4 linked regions of the Drosophila melanogaster genome follow. The gene in region 1 interacts genetically with each later gene. Each region holds a gene or a part of one and is shown in the gene's direction. Other genes may lie near its edges. The genes, in order: CaMKII, Oamb, kek6 and spz5.

Region 1 (4,880 bases):
TAATATATATATTCACACGCTTCACTTATATCTTAAAAGGACATTTATACAACATCAGTATGTACCCCATTTTGTGCCTTTGTTCAGTTACGCAGTAAATATAAATATATGACACTTAAAAATTTTGTAATTGTTATTGCACAATATACATACATCTTACAAATTACTCTTGATATCTACAAGAAAGTTTAAAACATACCTAAATACTTACGAGTTATGATAAATGCTTTTTTTTTAATTTTAAAAAAGTGTTTCACATTCTATATATCGTCCCTCCTAGTCCGAAAAATGGGTTTAGTAAAACATTTCTGAAGGTCTCATCCAAATAGTATATTTAATTCGCGTACATAGCGCGTGTTTATATGATTTAATGAAAAAGTATAATTTGCAACAAGTAATTTCCAAGACCCTGAAATATCCTTGCTAAAAGGGGTGGGGCGTTTTACCATTAAGCTCATCAAAAAAAGCTTCAACGCATGTAACCTGCAAAGGATACATACCTACATATATATGTACGTATATATATAACTGCTTCCCAGATACATTCTCATAATCAGGATTTTCTTTTTTAAGAAATTAACCAAAAACACCTGTCGCTTTTTTTAATTGATTGAAATATGTCAATGAGAGTTAAATATATCTGGTTTAAAACAAAGATAATAAAGTTTTGATCACAAATTTTAAACTTTTCGTAACATTTGACTTGACAATATTATATTATAAGTATGTTATTTCAAAATTGCGAGGGTGCAATTAAGGGTCTACATATACCTTTTCCAGGGAAACACTTCTTTTTCATGGTGATTGGGTCTAGTTTTAAAAAAACACGTACAACAAACTAAAAACTAACAGTACCGCTGTTACCGGATATGGCAAAAAACAAACCTCACGGAGAGGTATAAAACAAGAGAGAACGTGACAGTAGTTCATCGACTATTTAACAACCCGACAGAAATGTGCAAAATAAAAGAATAAATAAAAATAATGAAACAAAAAAACAAAACACTTTGTAAATGTGTGGGCAAAATCGAAATAAAAGATTTCAAGACTGAAAGAAGCAAATTATTTTTCAAAAAAATTGGAGTTACAGTTTTAGGCGGATTAAATGTCTGGTTCTCAAGAAAACAAATTTGCATGCTTTATCCCATGCCTGTCGTCCGTATCAACGCTGTTACCGCTGAAACTATAATAACTGGAAAGTAAAACGAAAAAATAATTTCCATTTTTTATTCCTTTACTCAATACGTAATATAGGTTAATAGTAATGATTGTTGCTGCTCTTGATCAGCTGGCTATCACACTAGCTTCGTTGAAAAGTATGTAACTTGCAGAACGACGCGTTTCCGAGCGTTTAAACTATATATAGTCTTCACCAGGATCAATAGCCGAGTCGAATTTTCATGTCCGTCTATCTGTATGAACTCCACGATCTCAGGAACTATAAAAGCTAGAAAGTTAAGATTGTGCCATGCCCTTTTTAAGTTTTCGTTTATTTTTTTTCAAAAAATTGTTGAAATTGTTTTGCCAATTTTAATCGGTACGCCAGAAAAATGTTTAATATTCTCGTTCATACTTCCACTAGCTGAGTAACAATTATCTGATAGTCGAAAAGCTTTACTATAGCGTTTTCTCTTGTTTTAATTCTGCAATGGATTCGTATTTTTTCAGGGCCATAGTTTAATTTGATATTGAAAACGCCACTGAGTGGTTGATATGCATATCGATGTAAGGCCCGTTTACACTGCACTAACCGCGGAGTTATGGTTTTACATATGTAGATACCTTTGCTATTTTGATGTGCATGGGGAACAGTTAAGTGTAGCTTTGGTAAGGAGTTGACCCCTATGTTTAATAATCGAGTTTATTACATTTTTCGTCTATCGAATGTCATGTCATCTCTAGGCAACAACAAGGTATCAGATTCAACGTTTGAGATAGGATAATACATTTTCAGACATTTTTCAATTTGTGCCCCCGCACATGTTGTTTCTTGCGAAGTATGGTGTTTTTTCGTATGATTTCATGATCACATGAAAAAACTTCAACCACCAAAATCTTCAAAATGGAGGTCGAGTTTTCTAGTTTAAGCAACGTGCTTTAAGAGAACTCACTTGAATTACCAACTCAATAAGAAACCTGCGGCTGTTTAAAATAACATAACCCTTATATTATTACAAACCATTTAAAATTTGAAGAACTATATGTAGATTGCTGGTCTGTTTTGCATCGACTCCACTGAGTAATATAGAATTTTAAAATTGGAATAGCGAGACATTCTTTTAATTTTACCGATATGTGTTTCTATGAAATAAGTTACCTAATCTGTGCTCTGAATACTTCTGAATTACATTGGCGAGCTTTACTTTACGAGCTTCATGCCCGATCTTATACAGAGAAGAATGCAAGTTTATACTATGATGGCCGGGGGATTCTCAAATACATGCAGTACCCCTTTGGATACCATAGAACCAACGCTGTCTGAAACTTTTGAACCAGCTAGTGATTACTTTATAACAAAATAATATTTAGAGAAGGCCCATGGTACCTAAATGGTACAACAATGTATGTATGTTTGTACGTTGTAAGCAATTTTTTGTATAATTTTTGTAAAACTGATTTATTATCTTATATTTAAAAATCGTTTAGAAAACAAGAAATAAAACTCCTGAAAAGTGAAATCTGTAGAGCAGTTGAAGATCTTTAGTCGCAATAGATTTTCTTAAGTGTGCCATCGCGATGGCTGCACCAGCAGCCTGTACGCGTTTTTCGGACAATTACGACATCAAAGAAGAGTTGGGAAAGTAAGTTTAACAAACTCAAGGTTAATAAATTTATTATAATAACCCGTCTATTAACATTTCAGAGGAGCATTCTCAATTGTGAAAAGATGTGTCCAAAAGTCAACTGGCTTTGAATTTGCTGCAAAAATTATCAATACAAAAAAATTAACTGCCAGAGGTAAGGCTTTCTGTGTTCTATGTAGGTTATAAATCACATATGTACGCATTTATGCTATGCACACGCATGTAGGGAAACTAAGTGCTGTTTTTAGGTAATTCGTCGAGTACAGTAAAAGGGTATACTAGATCCTTGATCCTTGGAAAGTATGTATATTCTTGATCAGGATCAATAGCCGAGTCCGTCTCTCCGTATGGTCGTCGAGATCTCAGAAACTATACAAGCTAGAAGGCATACAGATTTTAGAAACAAATACGCAGCGCAAGTTTGTTGACCCATGTTGCCACATGCGCCACGCCCTCACTTTTGAAAAATGTGTTGATATTTTTTCACATTTGTATTGGTCTTGTAAATTTCTATCGATTTGCTCAAAAAAAAGTTTGCCACGCCCATTCTAACGCCCTTTAACTTCTATCGATTTGCTTAAAAGCCGCCAACCGGTCACGTCCACACTTTGGACCAATTTTTAAACTTTTTTCTTATTTTATTCCCCAATATCTATCGTTATCCTAGAAAAATGATGAAATTTCGCGTTCCCATTCACACTAGCTGAGTAACTGGTATCTGATGCCGTTTTTTCAACGGCGATATGGCATATCGTAAGAAATCAGTAGTAAACATTGACTGTCAAAAAGTTTTCCTGTAAAATGTACTTTCTTTTTGCTAAGTACGCTTTTGGAAGGGACCATTCTTTTTGTGTAATATCTTCGTCGTCCCTATCTATTTGCCACACAAGTATCAAATAGTTCTACAGTAATTAAGTTGTATTTCTTGGTGTTGTGCTATTTAGTAATTAATAAATTTTTACTGCCAAGACGTGGCCAAAATAATTTTGGAATAGCAGTATTGGCAAAGTGTGTAATTTACAAAAAATATATTAAATAACTTTTAAGAAGTTTGAGCATGACAGCTGGGACAAATTTTGGGCTTAGAGAGAACCATTTGCTTGCTCGCCAAAAACCTCTTATTAACATATTTGTACACATGCATGTATGCATATAAGAGATGCTTATAATATATATATATATATATTTTTTTTTTTTGCTTTTAGACTTTCAAAAACTGGAACGTGAAGCAAGGATCTGCAGAAAGTTACACCATCCCAACATAGGTATGCAACGTGTATATAAATATAATTTACTTACTTATTCTTTAAAGATACGTTTTTCTGAAGATGTATGATCTACATAAAAGTAGACGAACATGGCCTAATATCACTTTGAACATCTACTATACATAATTTTTATATGTACATTCAATCACGGCTTAGACCCCAGTAGTGTTGATGACTTGCAATGTGATCCTGATAAAGGATGGTTTGACGTCCACGGTAACACAACGAAGAAAAAAATAAAATAGAGTTTAGTAGATATATCAATCCGCATCTGCAAGCAACATTCCATTCCTCGCCCTCCCTACTCTCCAATAACAAATCTTCCAAGTAATTTATAATTATAATAATTATAAAAACTTGCAGAACAGCAAAAACCGAACTCATGCAATAGACTTTCCTCTCACTAAAAGCGTAACCTAACAAAACAGTTATTTACACGGACAGTTCAAATCTAGAAACATCACTTCCTCCAGCGTCACCGACAAAATATATAATATGTTCAAAATGTATTTTATAAACATATATTTTTATAGCCTTTAAGGCTTATAATCATTGTCATCCGTAAAAAAAAAACATTAAATACAAATGTATACAACTAATAAATTGTTAATATGTACAATTTCAGTGCGGCTACATGACAGTATACAGGAGGAGAACTATCACTACCTTGTTTTTGACCTGTAAGCATTAACCTGCATAGACTCCTTACCAAATATTTAAATTGCCTATCCCCAAAAGTGTTTTAAAAATATGAGTTTCTAACAAATGCTTGTAAATGTGGCAATGACTCGACTATTGTTTATTGAGA
Region 2 (4,693 bases), on another chromosome or scaffold:
CAAAATGTATCTGTGACAGCGCAGCGCCAGGAGAAATCCAGGATAACCGAGCGAGCGAAGCGAACGAAAGACAACAAACGAATATTTATTACAGGTGTTTGCCTTTGACTGACAGAAGGCGCAATCTGACGCCGGAGCTTAGTTTCGGGCACTTCCCAGTGAGGAACTCTGAAAGCTGCGGGATACCCGGGCTTCCAGCTTTCACATAGGGCCACGTCAGCCCATTCCTTTGTTCGATTCTGCCTGCAAATTGATTTCGCATCTTTTATCTGGCCAGACGATGGAAATTTTGCAAATCCGATTTGGTTGAAGAATGAAATGCGTTGCAGACCCAACCGGAATTCCTGAAAAATCCCGAGCCAAATGCAGGATCCTGAAGGGCTAAAAATAACAACAGATTCTGCCGCAGAAATCATTGTGTTTTCTCTATCTATTCATGGTTTAAATTTTAGTCATGGAGGTAAGAAAGTGGAATCTCCGCGAGAACAGAAAAAGCAGAAAATAACGAGGTCCTGTGAATTCATCTGTTCATCTAGTTATGCAAATCCAAGTTAAACGTGCTGCAAGGCATCTGTGTTTCTCGCCAAGTGAGATTTGCAGACCGCCAGGAAATGGAAGCAGGATATAGATACAGTAGTTGTAGCAGAAAGACAGCGAAAGGATATAATTACTATGATGGCGGTCATATTGATCACGAGTCCCAAGGACTAATGAGCAGTTGGGAAAGGAAACTAGGCGGCTGTTCAGTGCTCGTGATGTGTAATTAATTTTTGGGCAACATCTGTTTATCCTAATTAGAGACGATACAAACACACACATGCCAGTGGAGGTTGGCAGGAGTTTTGGGGATGAGCCCGAGGCGTTCTCTTTTCATTTATCATTATTACTGGGCTAGACTAAACGGGGCCAAAAGGTCAGTAAGATAAAAGTTGGAATGTGAGTCGATTAAACGGTCAGAAATCAAGTGAATAATGACCGCAACAGCTCTTTCATGGCAAGTGCCCGCCACTTACTCAGCTTTCAAGATTTCAATGGAGCTTCATAATGAGTTTTGAATAGAGTATTGGTCATGGCGGGATTGTAAGCCAAATACTTGGCGAAAAATCGTAAAAAAAAAATACAAAAAATACCTCGCAGCTCTAATGGAAAATTGGGCAAATTGAAGTCGACCAACTTTGTCGTAAAATGAAATTGCTAGAAATATCAGCGGATGGTACAATCAGAATAAGGCTGAGCGGATGCCCATCAAAAAAGGGGCAAGTGTGTGTCCTTTTTTTCTAGCAGTCCAGCCATCCTTTTGACTGCTCCGAATTTACCAATTTATTATGCGTGGCTTCTTTTATTTGCCATGGCCAACTGGCTGTTTGTCTGGCCGAAAGGTTAACAAGCCAGAAAGCGTCGCAAATCAAAGGGAATTTCAAACTGGCTGCAGGCGAATGCAGATTAGGAGAATCAAGGGATTATAATTAATCAGACGTCTTGGCTCTTACAGCAAATATCGCATGCGATTTTATTTCCAAGCGACTGTTGCGCGCTGTTCAACAAATTCTGCTTTTCTACCGAGCGCTGTTTCTCTTCCTGCTGTTTCAAGTTTTAATGTTCCAATCTCCAACGTTTCCATCTTTCCATTCGTTCCGGAACGAACAATTTCGAACGCACAGTTCGCGCTGAAAATTCAGTTCGTGTTGAAAATTCTGCCGCGTCGGTCGTGCCAATTCGAACGAGCGGAGAAAACTGGCCAGAACTAACGGTTCTTGCCGACGGCACATAACGGTAGCTAACAGTGTTGCGTGGGTGTTAGTGTAAGGGTGCGCTGTGTGGGTGTGTGCCCTTGTGCGTGTGTGTGAGTTGCCGAAGCGCCGAGTGCGAGTCCGAGTGCTCGTGATCGCGAACAACAGCTGTTTTGCACCATTTTGCGAACTCAGTTCCTGTTGAGTCCTCGATCGAAGCAAAAGGATGTTAGCCATATATTGAAGTTATAATTACAGCTGATTGATAACCAAAACTAAAGCTCGAGGCAGCTACGTGCCTTTTGGCCAAAAAACCGAAATATTAAAATTCGCAATAAGCGCGACGAGCGAGTGAGTGCATTCATAATGAATTCGCGAGTGTGAGACGAGTGTGAATGTGTCTTATGTGATTTAATGGGGTTTTCTTCAGCGCCGTGCTAGTTTCGCCTAATCAAATCGCTCGCTTTCGTTCCATTTCGTAATTTCGCTCATTAGCAAACAATTTTCCTTGCTGTCGCCGAAACAAACATAGCATTGACAAAGTGCAATTTTCATAATTGTCCCGCTGTGACATTAGCATATATGCAAAAATAAATATTTCTGTTTATAGATGATGTCAGTCAGCAGATCAGAACTGCATTTCCTTCGCCTTTGTGTCTGCTCTGCTTGAGTAATGACAGCAAATAATTGGTTTGCCATAAATTGCCAGTGCAATGTTGCCGTTGCCAATCCATGCAATTAACAAATAAAACATATTTCAATCAAATTCTAGCGCAAACAAACTATTAATTTCACAAAACCCGGCCTAGTCACGCCCAATCGAAAAGATCAACAAACCACCAAGCACTGAAAACTAAACACTTAAAACTTAAGCACTGCAAAACTGAGTAGTGAATATCGAAAACCAAATGCTGAGTATGGAGATTTTAGGCAAAATGCGTGCAATTATTCAACGCATGACAACCAATTAATTGGCCAAAGAGAGCGAGAGCACACGAGACCCGGGGCAACAAGTCGATATAGCAATAGCTTTTGAAAATATATAGCTATCTGGTGAGCCGGTTAACGCCAGCAAGTGCATCGGAAAACCAGCAACAAACAAAAACTTGACCGATTTTCCAAGCGATTCGGTGACGGGCTCTCGCTAATCTCGCCCAGAAAACTCAGATCACAACCGCCATCGACATCGCGATGATTTATGCAGGTGAGTCTGCTCGAGTTTATGACACTTTTCGAAGTTCAACTAATTGTAGATATTGTAAGTTTGAATATTTAATTCAAATCTCTGAAAATCATTTATTTCAACTACAATATTTGAGGCAATACAAAATTATATTTTAAAACCATTTGGTAATAAAACTATCATTAACCTGTTCAAATATATATTCAGTCATAGACTTTTTACTATACCAGTAGCTTCTCCTATTTTATAAAATAATACTTACTTAGTAGTGGACAAAAAAACTCTATTAATAGATTAGAAGCTTTAAGGCGTTAAAATTGATTTATTATAACAGCGCAACTCATTATATTAATGCATTTCTTATGCTTGCATATGTTCATTTTGTTTGCTGATCAGGGGATCTACAAGTTGTATTCGAGATATTTGCACCCAAATAATGAATCGGTACCAGCAGAAACCCCAAAGCAATGTTTGGGCAATGAGAATGGGTATTAGTGCCAAACAGTACTGGCCATAAATCCATAGTCTCAGTTAATTACAAACCCATATCAACATCTCCGAAGGCGACGACGCAATTAGTTTGGGGGGAAAAGGCGCGCGGCATACAAATTACGAAGCAAAACGAAAAAATTCGTCAAGTGTTTTGTGCATTTTTGCGGTTTTATTTTATTTCGCTTTTTTATTTTGTTTTTATTTTTATTTTTTTTTTTGCACAGGGCTTAGCACGTGGCTGTTGACCGCCTTTGGTTACAGATTTTGTTTATTCACTTTCGGTAGCCTAATTAACTAAATTGGCTGGCTTGTTGACAATGGAAACCAAAGTGCGACCCATCTACCACTCGGCAAGAGTTCCTTCGCCCATCTTCCGAGTTTTCCCCCACCAAGTGTGAAGCTTAGCAGACACAAAGGCCAGTTGACAGGTGAAATGGGGGCAAACAATGGAAGTTGTTTTGACAGGGTCACAATGGACAGCCCGGCCCAATAACACGGACAGACTGGCCGACGGAAGGATGGGTTGCCAGCCGAACGGCTGGGAAATGTAGTAATAAATTAGGTTTTCAAATGGATCCCCATTTATTTCAACTTTAAGTGTGAAATTCCAGTCAGCCCGACTTTTATTTAATGCCACTCAGACATCCCTATATGCGGCTAAAGTCACGACTCGGAGGCATTAATTAGCCAGCTTTCCCAAACCCGTCGCTTTAACTGATAGTAAGCCTAAGTATAAGCGTTTTGAAATAAAGATACTTTAAAATACAACATTTTTATTGTTGTATGCATTTCATCGTGAGTCTCTCATTACTTTATAGAGCTACGTCCTTTTGAGCAGATAAAACGCATTAGCTCACCATCTTGTTCCATTTTACTATCAGAGTACACTTAAAACAAATTCTTGGGCCATGTTGCAGATAAATAGAAAAGTACGTTGCATTAAAGCAGTATATTTTATGTCTAAAATAAATTATTAATTAAGTAAAACGAAAATATTATTTTATAATGGAATTTCTCATAAAAGTATTATTATTAAAAGCTCCATTGATAACTAAAAAATCATTTATTCATTTGTTTCGAAAAATGGTACGCTAAAAACTCTATGGACATTCCCATTTTGACCATGGTATTGAAAGCACTTCTAAAACAGTGCCCGTGTGTCCAGCTATGGAAATCTTCACGCCTGGCCAAGCACAGGGAGCTGGAAACAGGAAGCAGTGCGAACTGGGAACTGGGAAATTTGAAGTGAGAGCTCTGCCCCAAGTGGCAGCCGAGCTGGACGTAAACA
Region 3 (5,033 bases), on another chromosome or scaffold:
GAGTGGATCATGAATCCCAATGGCAAGAGCTTCGTCTGCATCCTGCACGAGTACGTGCAGCATGCTCTGAAAACGCAGCCCACCTATGAGTTCAAGGAGCTCCAAAACGCAGCCACGCCTTACTCCGCCACCGTATCGGTGAACAATCTCAAGTATGGCACGGGCTATGGCACCAGTAAAAAGCAGGCCAAGTCAGAGGCGGCTCGGGAAACGCTGGAAATACTCATTCCCGATGTCAAGGACAAGATAACGGGCAACAATAAGGACCAAAAGAGCGGCACTGCGAAGAAAGCGCAGAGCGATCTGTCTGTAAGCAATCTACCTATAGAAAATGGAACCACTTCTTATTTTTATATTTCTTGCAGGTTTTCGATGACATCCGCATCGAAGATCCCCGAGTCACCGAATTCTGCAACAAGACGACGGAGCCATCTCCCAACGCCATTCTGCTGACTTGCTTGCAGCGCAACTACGGCAGCGATGTTCAGATCAGCCAGGAGATCAACCGCACCGCGAATAACAAGAACGAGTTTACCATGACCGTGGGCAAACATACTGCCAAAGTGGTGTGTAAAAACAAGCGGGAGGGCAAGCAGTTGGCTTCGCAAGCAATCCTCCAGGTGAGCATTGATATTTCTTTATAACTTTACTTATAGCTATTGAGTTAACCTTTCGTCAGATTTTGCATCCGCACATCCAGACCTGGGGTTCCTTGTTGCGCCTCTACGGCAACAACTCCATAAAGACCTTCAAGGAGAAGAAGCTGGAGGAGCAGGAGATCACCGTGCTGCAGAGCAAGGCGGCAGTCAACCAACCCAACTACGCCATACTGGACAAACTTAAATCCGAGATGTTGAAACTGTGTGCCAAGCAGGAGAGCGTCCTAACCATGGGCACTTTTGTGCCGCCAAGCGACGTCGATCTGCCCACTTCCTCCGGGTCCAATTTGAACAACGTGGAACTTTGATTGGGAAACACACATCTCTCTCGCCAACATTGATTCTCTAGTAGTGCATGACAACCTCCTAGTCTCTTAGTTACCCACCCATTTCCATATTCGAAAAGCTAATGACAACAACGACGCGTTCTCTAGAGGCATACGAACTGATTTCAAATCGGCTTCATCTATCTGAGCTGGTTAATCTGAAGTGGCTTTAGCAAGTGGCCAAAAATGAAGAACAATTGCCTATCAAGTGGTTTTACATTAAGGTAAATTCATCACTAAATTTGCCAAATATAAGTAGTTCATGCTTGCAATAGCTAAGATTAGGGGTTCAATTTCACTTGTATAATATAAGCTTGAATAAAATACTATTAAAAACGCAGTCCTTTATATTTGAGTATAGAGATGTTCGTCTAAGATCTTTATCTGCAATACCAATTAAAAAAGTAGAGTTCTTAAGTATTTGACAACTATTCATTTGGGCAGACAGCAGGACAATTATTTGCTCATGATTTGTTTATCAAATTTCCTCGTAAATCTTCTCGTATCGCTTTCATTCTTGGAACGTTCAAACACCATTGACCCGTAACCAATTTGGAAGACATTTTAAAAAGTCGTATGGAATATAAAAAAATGCATATTTACATGGCCATTAGGATTCTCGGGTGTTTTTAGGCGGTCGGTCGTTAGGTGAGTGGATGTTAATATTTAAGGCGGTGGGCAGGGTGTAGGTTCGTAGGTGTGTGTGCGTGCAATTATTTAAAAGACGATGCAGTCATAAATTATGCTACATTTTCATTTCATTCTAACGTTTCCTTTTTTATAGCATTCCAACGAGCGTGGCACACACACATACCCACCACGGAGAATGCGGAGAGACAGTCGCAGAGAGAAAGTCCGAGAGAGAGAGCGCGGGAGAGCGGCGCAGGCGCAGATCCCGGATTTTGCGCAGCAGCCATGCTGCGAGATGAATTGTGGCGAGTTCTGACTTGCCAATTCGCAGGCCATATCTGTATCTTCAGTACGGATTCTTCGCGTGGCGAGAAAACCACTTCCCGGCGCTCCTATCCTCAGGACTTTCGTCTGGGATTTGTAATTGAATCACAGTAACTCGGGACAGACCGAAAAAAAAAACGGGGAGAAAAACAGAAAGCCAAGAGGTGAATTCGGTGGTACAGCTGAAAAAAGGCCAACTGCAGTGCAGAGCAGAATCATTTTTATTGACATTCATCTTAGTTGCCCCCTCATCCCTCGGTGCCCCCAAAAAAACCAACTTCATAGCCCCCCAGTTCCTCGATTCTCGACTCTCGACGTTCGATTCCCGGTGCTCGTGTGTCGCGTGTTGCAAGTGCGTGGGTCGCGCGTCAAATCAGTGGATGTAGCAAGCGGTACGACACGCGCGCCGTTTTTGATTTTTCGCCCAGCGGCCCAGAAATCGGGCCTGGGAAAAAAGTGCGGATATTCGGTGAAAGACGGAGCACTCGGAAAATAAACGGAAAATCGGGTACACACACGCACTCCTGTACACCGTGTCCAATGCATTTGGCCCGCTTGGCCCAAGCACTCGGAGATATGTAAATTATGCCAAATTCCATTGGAATTTCCGTCAGAGCCAGTGAATCGGTAAGCAGCAGCCGCCGGAGCAGCAGAAGGCGGAGGACGCAGGACGCAGGACGCAGGAGCAAGCCAGTAGCAGCAACAAGGACTGGAGCAACAGCAGTAGGCGAAGGTAAGCGGTAGCGCATTAGGCGCCAAGTGTCAGCGGAGAATGCTGGAAAATTCAATAATCCGCCGCAGGGCGCCCGTTTGTCCCCCTCGTGCCACACGTCCTCCTCGCCGTCCGCCTGCCCGTCTGCCCGAAAAACCCACTCCACGCTTGCCATCTGGGCGCATACCGAATGAACTCGTGCACGGGCAGAAAAAAGTGGATACTACTTTATTTTGGACTGAAAAATTGATGGTGGAATTGTGCTTTACGGTCATTGTCTTGGAGTTTGTGCAATTTTGTGAATTTCCATCCAACGTGTTCCCAAATAAATCCCTACGGCTCAAATGGAAATGGGGTATCGGCTCTTCAAACCCCAAATCCACATCCTTTTTCACAAGGAGAGGCGGTATTATTTATCTTACATTATCGTATAATGGCATATACATATGTATCTGTAGGCGTGTGTTAATTGAATTGCAATATTTGGGAATTTTATGGCGCCGCAAAACAACAGGAAGGGTTGAGTAAATATTGGCAGAGTAATCCACAGAGCGAAGCTGCCAGCTTTTTCTCCTTGTGCACTTACATGGCACATATAGGATACTCGCTCGGCTCTGGCGTAGTCTGTTGCGTCCAAAAGTAGGTTGACTTCGGTCTGGCCGGGTTTTCGGGATTGGATGGGATGGGATGGGGTCTGTTCTGCTTTGCGTTTGGCGATGGCTTTGTTGCCGCTCGATATTCGTTTAGTTTCTATTTCTTTTGCTGTTTCGGTTTCGTTTTCACTTCCAGCTAATTTCGGTGAAATAAAGAGATGAAGAGTAAATAAGAAGTCGGGCGGAGTGAGGACGAATTGGGGGAGCGCCACTTCCCGCGGGAGAAAGTGTCCTTCCTTTGAAGTTGTGCTAAGTAAATCCAGGTAATGCTGCCCAGGACCGCAGGCTTCCATTTTGGGGATTCCTTTCAAGGACTTCTTGAGGAAACAGACGAATTATAGACCCTTTCTAATACATTTTCTTTTCCGGGCTTCCGATGGGTTCGCCTCCTTCTTCAATATAAAAAAACAAAATTTCTCTAAGTTTCGTTCAATTCGGGTTGACAACATCCATTGGATGCAAGAATGTTGGGTTCGAGTAAAAGTTTCTTCCCCATTTACACCTAGTAACTGTGCCAAAAATCGATTATAGAGACCCTTGCTTTATGTTTTCCTAATTCCAATTGATGTGTCTGTTAACTGAGTTGAAAGTAATACTCGTTTAAGTTCTAGCTGAGACAAATGGCAAATACGTTTATCTGCAAGGATTTGCCCTTAATTGCCTTCCCAAAATGCTTTCAACTTGAAGGCATTTAAATCTTGCTTTGCCATTTTGTGGCTTTGTGGCCAAAGCTCTTTTTTACTTAGCCAGATTTTTCCATAACAAAACAGATTTCAATGTTTTTCATGTGCACCATTTTTACAAATACAAAAACTGATTCGAAGTGGCTAAAAAGTCCGAAGAAGGCAGCTCACGTAAGCTTTCCTTTTAATAATGCTCACATTCCCCGAAAGTTTGTTTTAATTAATATTCCGAAATGCTAAACAGACGAAACCAGACAAACAAGCCAGCGAAAATATTTATACAAACCTGAAAGTAAGTTCCCTCGGCTGGAGCCAAAATTTCAAGGGATGCGTAAACTTGGCAGTGAGTCCTGCCCCTCCTCCTCCGCATGCCAAATTCTCGTTTGCGGGTTGCAATGGCAACGATCTGGGAACGATGGCACCGCAAGGTGTCCTTTGATGTCTGATAAGCAAATCCCGGCAATGTGACACCTTCGGCTCAATGGATGACCGACCCGTCGTCACCCATTTTCCATCCTCCATCTTCCATTTCGCATTTCCCACAAAGCGAGCGACCACCAAGAAATCGGAAAATCGGGGGAGCGGTGCGAGTACTTAATAATGCAAATACCCACAAAAACTTTTTGGGGGTTGGGGTCCTGAAAAATTCCAAGAGGGGCTTATCAAATTCTTCGAATGGCTTTGCCCAAAATAGAAAAGTAAGCCAGAAAAATCGCATTCACTCAGTGGCGCTCGACTGTCGGCCAATTTGGCGTGCTAACAAATTATCGCTGGCCGGGAAAATCAATAAGCATTAATCTTGTGGCGATTTTGTCTATATCCCGCACATTATTTGCATAGTTAATGGCCAGGACCACGGGTGCCGTTGGCCATTCAACCGACCACCGACCACCGACCACCGGCAACCAACAACCGATGGGTTTAAGTCCGAGTGGTTGGGCAATTGTTAAAATCGTTGTCCGCCGGACGAGGTGATTATAGCCACTTGTAGTTATGATTGGGGAATCGATTTCAGGCGAAAACCGTAAGCTCCTGCCGTTTACTTA
Region 4 (4,646 bases), on another chromosome or scaffold:
TGAGTTGGTGGACCCAGCCCCTAATTAACCCTTTCGCAATTGCAGCTAAGCCTTAAAACGGCGGTGGGAAGTTGGGGGAGTGGCCCCTCCACGTGTTATATACATATGTAGCCGCGATAGTTTTAGGTATAAAATGATACCTTTGGTCCCGATACCTTGGGCTCGGAGTTTGATTAATGAGCGGCTTAAGTGAATCTCAAATCGAATCTGAGCCTGCTCGGCCGGCAGACTGATGAAGTCACTAATTTGACTTAAAAACGCATTAAAAACCATTTTCGATAAGAGCTTGGAGCCCCATATTGTGATTTCGGCGAGGGTTTTCCCGTACTTTTCTGTCTAGGTCTCGTCTTTGTGAAAGTTGTGCAAAATTGGAGCCAAGAAACCAAAATTGAACGATGAAGCACCCAAGGCGACGGATAAAATTCCAAAACCGCCTCGGAAGATTTGAGAGTGCAAATCTCTTGCTATTGGCAATCAGCTGTAAACATAAATAATGTTCGAGTTTGCGGAGAGTGGACTAACTGGATACCCAGTGAGTAAATCATGTAACCATACTCATTTTTATCACTAATTATCGAATTTAAATAATTCATTTCATTTTCTGAAAATCTTGAAAATCTTACTAGATATATTTCGGTCTATTTGGCTTATACTTTGAACCATAAAAATAATTTAGGCCTTTGATAGTTTAAAACTATTTTACGGTATACATCTCTTTCAACCTTTTTAAAAATTAAATTTATTTGTTTTTTTCTAATTATGTACACACATATTGCATATTCAATACTTTAAAATAAATTGACAGAGAAATTACTGCTCAGCGCTTTCTTCTTGGTTAAAAAGTATTGTAAATATTTATTAGGAATGAAAAAAAAAAAAATAATTCCCAATATACCTGTGCTGAAATATTACCCATAATTCCAGCTTTGGCAACGCGCAAAATTGATTTAAATGCCTTCGACGAGAGACAAAATCGGAGGTAACTCCTACAATTGTGCGTGGTCTTGGCCATTAAAAGCCTTTTCTTGCCAACATTCAATGTCTGTGCCGGAGGCAGCGCCAAATCAAATCAACGGCAGCAGTCACAAATCTGCGACAGATAAAAGCTGTTAACTGACCTTCATTGGCCATAAAAATCCAAATTCATCGCCCGAACAATGCGCCGTATCTATGGGCCAAAACCGGCGGCAACGACGAACAACAATTGGCGAGCAGAAAAATTAACAATTTAAATAAATTCACTTTATTGCAGTTCGCATATTGGCGACAATGTAAAATAAACAATAAAAGTGGTCAATAAATAAGGCCCACGTCATATCGAATGGCCCGAACCACTGGACTTCCGGTCTTGAATCGGGCCAAAAAAGAAAAAGAAAACCGCACCACATATCACATTATACTATGTGGCCAACGACATGAATCACGGGCCAAAAAGTTCAAAGTTGAGCGGGCTAAATTGAGAGATTAGCCTGGGAGATCAGAGCCGGCTATATCTTTTGCTATATAGCTCTGCTCTGACCCAAGCTCTGCTTTTCTCTGCCTCTTTTCCCGAGTTTGCGGCTCTGGGCCGCTGTTAACTTGGCTAAGACCGCTCAGTTGGCTACGAGCTGCCGCCGTGAGCATTGGCAAACGCGTGAAACGGAAAAGACGAAAACGAAATCGAAATCGAAAACCTAAAGTCCAAAAACCGAAATATCCGCGCTCTTCGGTACGTGTTAAGTTTTTTAATTAGTAGAATTTTCAAGTGAGTGTTCGGTGGCAAAAAAAGAGAAAATATTTCACTGAAATACAAAGAGCATAGCTAAGCTCGACAAAAGTGCACATAGTGATCAAAAACATTTGCCAAATACTGTGAAGCAAAAACCCAAACAAATCTACAAGCCGCACACTAGGTGAGTAATTATTAAATTGAATACTTTAATTCCCGCCATAAGTTAATAAATTTCATTGGTTCGTCATCGCAGCTCTGATTTATTATAACGCTTGATTGTTTTCCTTCTTTTTGTATACACTTGTAACCAAAATGTTAGGAAACCAGCAAACACAAATTAAATCAAAGCGATCACAAAACAAAATCCACAAAAAATGCAGACAACACTTTGGGTAAATACAAACAAAATATAATCAAGTGGGGAGAAAAAACCTTGAAAAGTCGTGCTTAATTTCTTAGCTAAATGCAGGCATAAAATATATGTTTAAAAAATTATAATGAAGCTCAGCTATTTGTCTGCCTCCAATCGAATCCATTGTTTTAGTCCCTAAATTAGCTTCAAATAACCCAACCTCTTTGTGAAGGAAAATAATTCAGAGGCTTTGGAAAAAATGCCCGAAGCAGAAGTCTGTCTCTTTGATAGTTTATTTAATGGATAGAAGTAAGGATAGATATTGTGGAAAGTATACAAGTTTACCAATTAAATAAACTAGAGAGCTTAAAACTTTCCTGTGTCAAACACTCGCGTAATAAAAACTTAATAAGCAATCATTATTATTAAATAGCTTTATAATTAATTAGCAGCATTTCGTTTCATTCAGCTCTTTTTTTTAGCCTGCTAATGCTTCAATTAGATGCCAACAAAATATTTTATCCCCTTAAAAAAGTGCCAATCGGGTGAATAAGTGAGAATGTCTGGGCGAGACAAAGATAAAGATCTGACAATCGATCATTACTCAGGCGGGATATAATTAATTAAATATAGATAGATGATTTTGCGGCCAAATCATTCAAATAAATTGAATGGGGCCCAGCGATTTTGAGCACTCAATTTCGAAAATGATGCCGCAGCCAATGGATTAGCCGCTAAAGCTTGGTCAAAGATCTTTAACAATTTCATTAACTTTTGGCCCGTCGGCCTAATGATGTGCAAATGGCCCAAAACACACCATAAAACACGCTGCCACTAAAGTTGCCAAGGGAAACAATGCCAAAACCCATGTCCAACTTCTTTTGGCTGCTCTGTGATTTATGAGGTGATCGCCTGGCGCAACTTTGGCATCGGGGAAATACCAGCAATACGTGGGTGTAGCCATGTGCAAGACTCCATTAGCAGATCGCAGACACTAAATCTGGCTTCGATGCACAGCAGAAAACATGGTTGGAAACGTGGTTTCAAAATACCTAAGCTATTTTAATCTCAGAGAAATATGTGTTATTATATGTATATATAAAATTGTATAAGCATTTAAAGCCCAGCTCAACTACTAAACAACATTTTGTGTTTCAAACTTCTGTTTGATACTTTAATATGCCGTGAATGTTCATTTATTATAATTGTTTTCTTTATTTTTTCATTTTTAATATTATTAATATAATTATTTCCTGTGTACCTTGACGGACACTTTGTCATTGGCTCTTGTTTGTTGACTGATTTGTTTTGCTTGGCTCGTGCAAAAGAGCCTGTGATCCCGGAAATCCTATCGCAGCTTGTGGCAGGTGTTTTTGTATCGGTATAAATTCCAATTGATTCTTGAATGCTCGCTGTTTTTACAGGCACCCCATGTCTGAGTGTTAAAGGCAATTGTTATTGCTTTTTGTTCTATAAATAATTGTGGTACACATTATATTGAAACTATAGCAAAACTTGACACGAAATCCGGTTTTTACCATTGACTGTGACAGCTTTAGATTTGATCACTTGTTAGCATTGTTACATTATAATAATTAAAATATTTGTATAACATTTTTTGTTAATTTTTAGCTCACTTTCGTTAGTTATGTCAGCTGTTAATTAACATTTAATTACGGGATTTTTAATTTTCCCAGATTTTAAAAGTTGATTTCATACGGGAAACATGTTGGGAATTTTTCTTTGAGCTTCTTGTTCATATAAAAGCATTGCTAACTATCGAAATCTAGTCAAAGTTATCTCATAGTTTCCGCAATAAAAACTGCTTGTATTATTATATATATATTCTCTCCAACAGTTGGTAATATATCACTTTAAATATGCAAAATATCTTGCATTGATCTAAACTTAAATTGTCTATAAAACATCCGATTTAAATACCGGCATATTGAAATTCCGTTTTAGAGTCCTAATAAATCATTAGAGTTTATAAGTATTGTCATTAGCTGACAGCTCGGGTCGCCAATTGAGAACGCCCCCACAATGCATGGGGCGTGTCCAGTCCATTATCTTCGCGGCGTATACTTAATCTGCGTATACTTAATCTTGTTGTCTGGAGCTTGTTCGTCACTTTCACTTTTGGCAATTTATTTTCGCTATTTACGGGAGTTGTTCGAGTTGTTTGGCTGTTGTTTGCTCAAGAGGCTGTCGGTGGTGTAGTTCGTGTTTGTGTTATTGTTTTAGTTGTTGATTGTTTAACTTAACAATAAGCCCAAGTGAACTGTGGGCAACAAATAAGCACTTTGAAGCATTTCCGCTGCGGAAAAACCATCACTTATTGTCTGTTTCGTGTCCCAATGGAAATGGTGCGAGAAATGGTCGTGTATTTGCCATTTTTTTGCGACTAATATTTGACCAAATAACTCATGGCAGTTTCTCTTTCGCTTCAGGTTTCCGAATTCACGTTGAAGACACTGGCTGAATCGCAATCGAGTCAAATGCAAATGCAAATCGACGGCGAATGAATTGACAATGACAAAAAGTATTAAACGTCCGCCCCCCTTTAGTTGTAAACAAGTTCTT

What was found.
Region 2: of CaMKII (region 1) and Oamb, changing one suppresses a phenotype caused by changing the other (phenotypic suppression), as found in Drosophila melanogaster (one study listed by BioGRID).
Region 3: of CaMKII (region 1) and kek6, changing one suppresses a phenotype caused by changing the other (phenotypic suppression), as found in Drosophila melanogaster (one study listed by BioGRID).
Region 4: of CaMKII (region 1) and spz5, changing one suppresses a phenotype caused by changing the other (phenotypic suppression), as found in Drosophila melanogaster (one study listed by BioGRID).

Annotation. Positions count from the first base shown.
Region 1 is NC_004353.4:1,048,376-1,053,255, reverse strand, and holds the start of CaMKII (Calcium/calmodulin-dependent protein kinase II), read left to right. Parts: upstream 1-1,877; 5' UTR 1,878-1,913; exon of another isoform or gene 1,914-2,562; intron 2,563-2,646; 5' UTR 2,647-2,736; coding exon 2,737-2,801; intron 2,802-2,863; coding exon 2,864-2,958; intron 2,959-4,009; coding exon 4,010-4,069; intron 4,070-4,697; coding exon 4,698-4,752; intron 4,753-4,880. UniProt on the Drosophila melanogaster protein: A key regulator of plasticity in synaptic physiology and behavior, alterations in its activity produce pleiotrophic effects that involve synaptic transmission and development as well as various aspects of behavior. Directly modulates eag potassium channels.
Region 2 is NT_033777.3:20,711,560-20,716,252, reverse strand, and holds the start of Oamb (octopamine receptor in mushroom bodies), read left to right. Parts: upstream 1-1,675; 5' UTR 1,676-1,773; intron 1,774-2,502; 5' UTR 2,503-2,934; intron 2,935-4,693. UniProt on the Drosophila melanogaster protein: Receptor for octopamine (OA) which is a neurotransmitter, neurohormone and neuromodulator in invertebrates. Stimulates intracellular accumulation of cAMP and Ca(2+) following ligand binding. Required for ovulation.
Region 3 is NT_033777.3:31,620,151-31,625,183, forward strand, and holds the start of kek6 (kekkon 6), read left to right. Parts: upstream 1-1,985; 5' UTR 1,986-2,672; intron 2,673-5,033. Other genes in the region: pasha (partner of drosha), read left to right, coding at 1-309, 366-620, 680-967.
Region 4 is NT_037436.4:2,889,113-2,893,758, reverse strand, and holds the start of spz5 (spatzle 5), read left to right. Parts: upstream 1-1,592; 5' UTR 1,593-1,892; intron 1,893-4,513; 5' UTR 4,514-4,595; coding exon 4,596-4,646. UniProt on the Drosophila melanogaster protein: Neurotrophin which may function as a ligand for the Toll-related receptors Toll-6 and Toll-7. Binds to Toll-7 and Toll-6, and probably acts as their ligands in the promotion of motor axon targeting and neuronal survival in the central nervous system (CNS).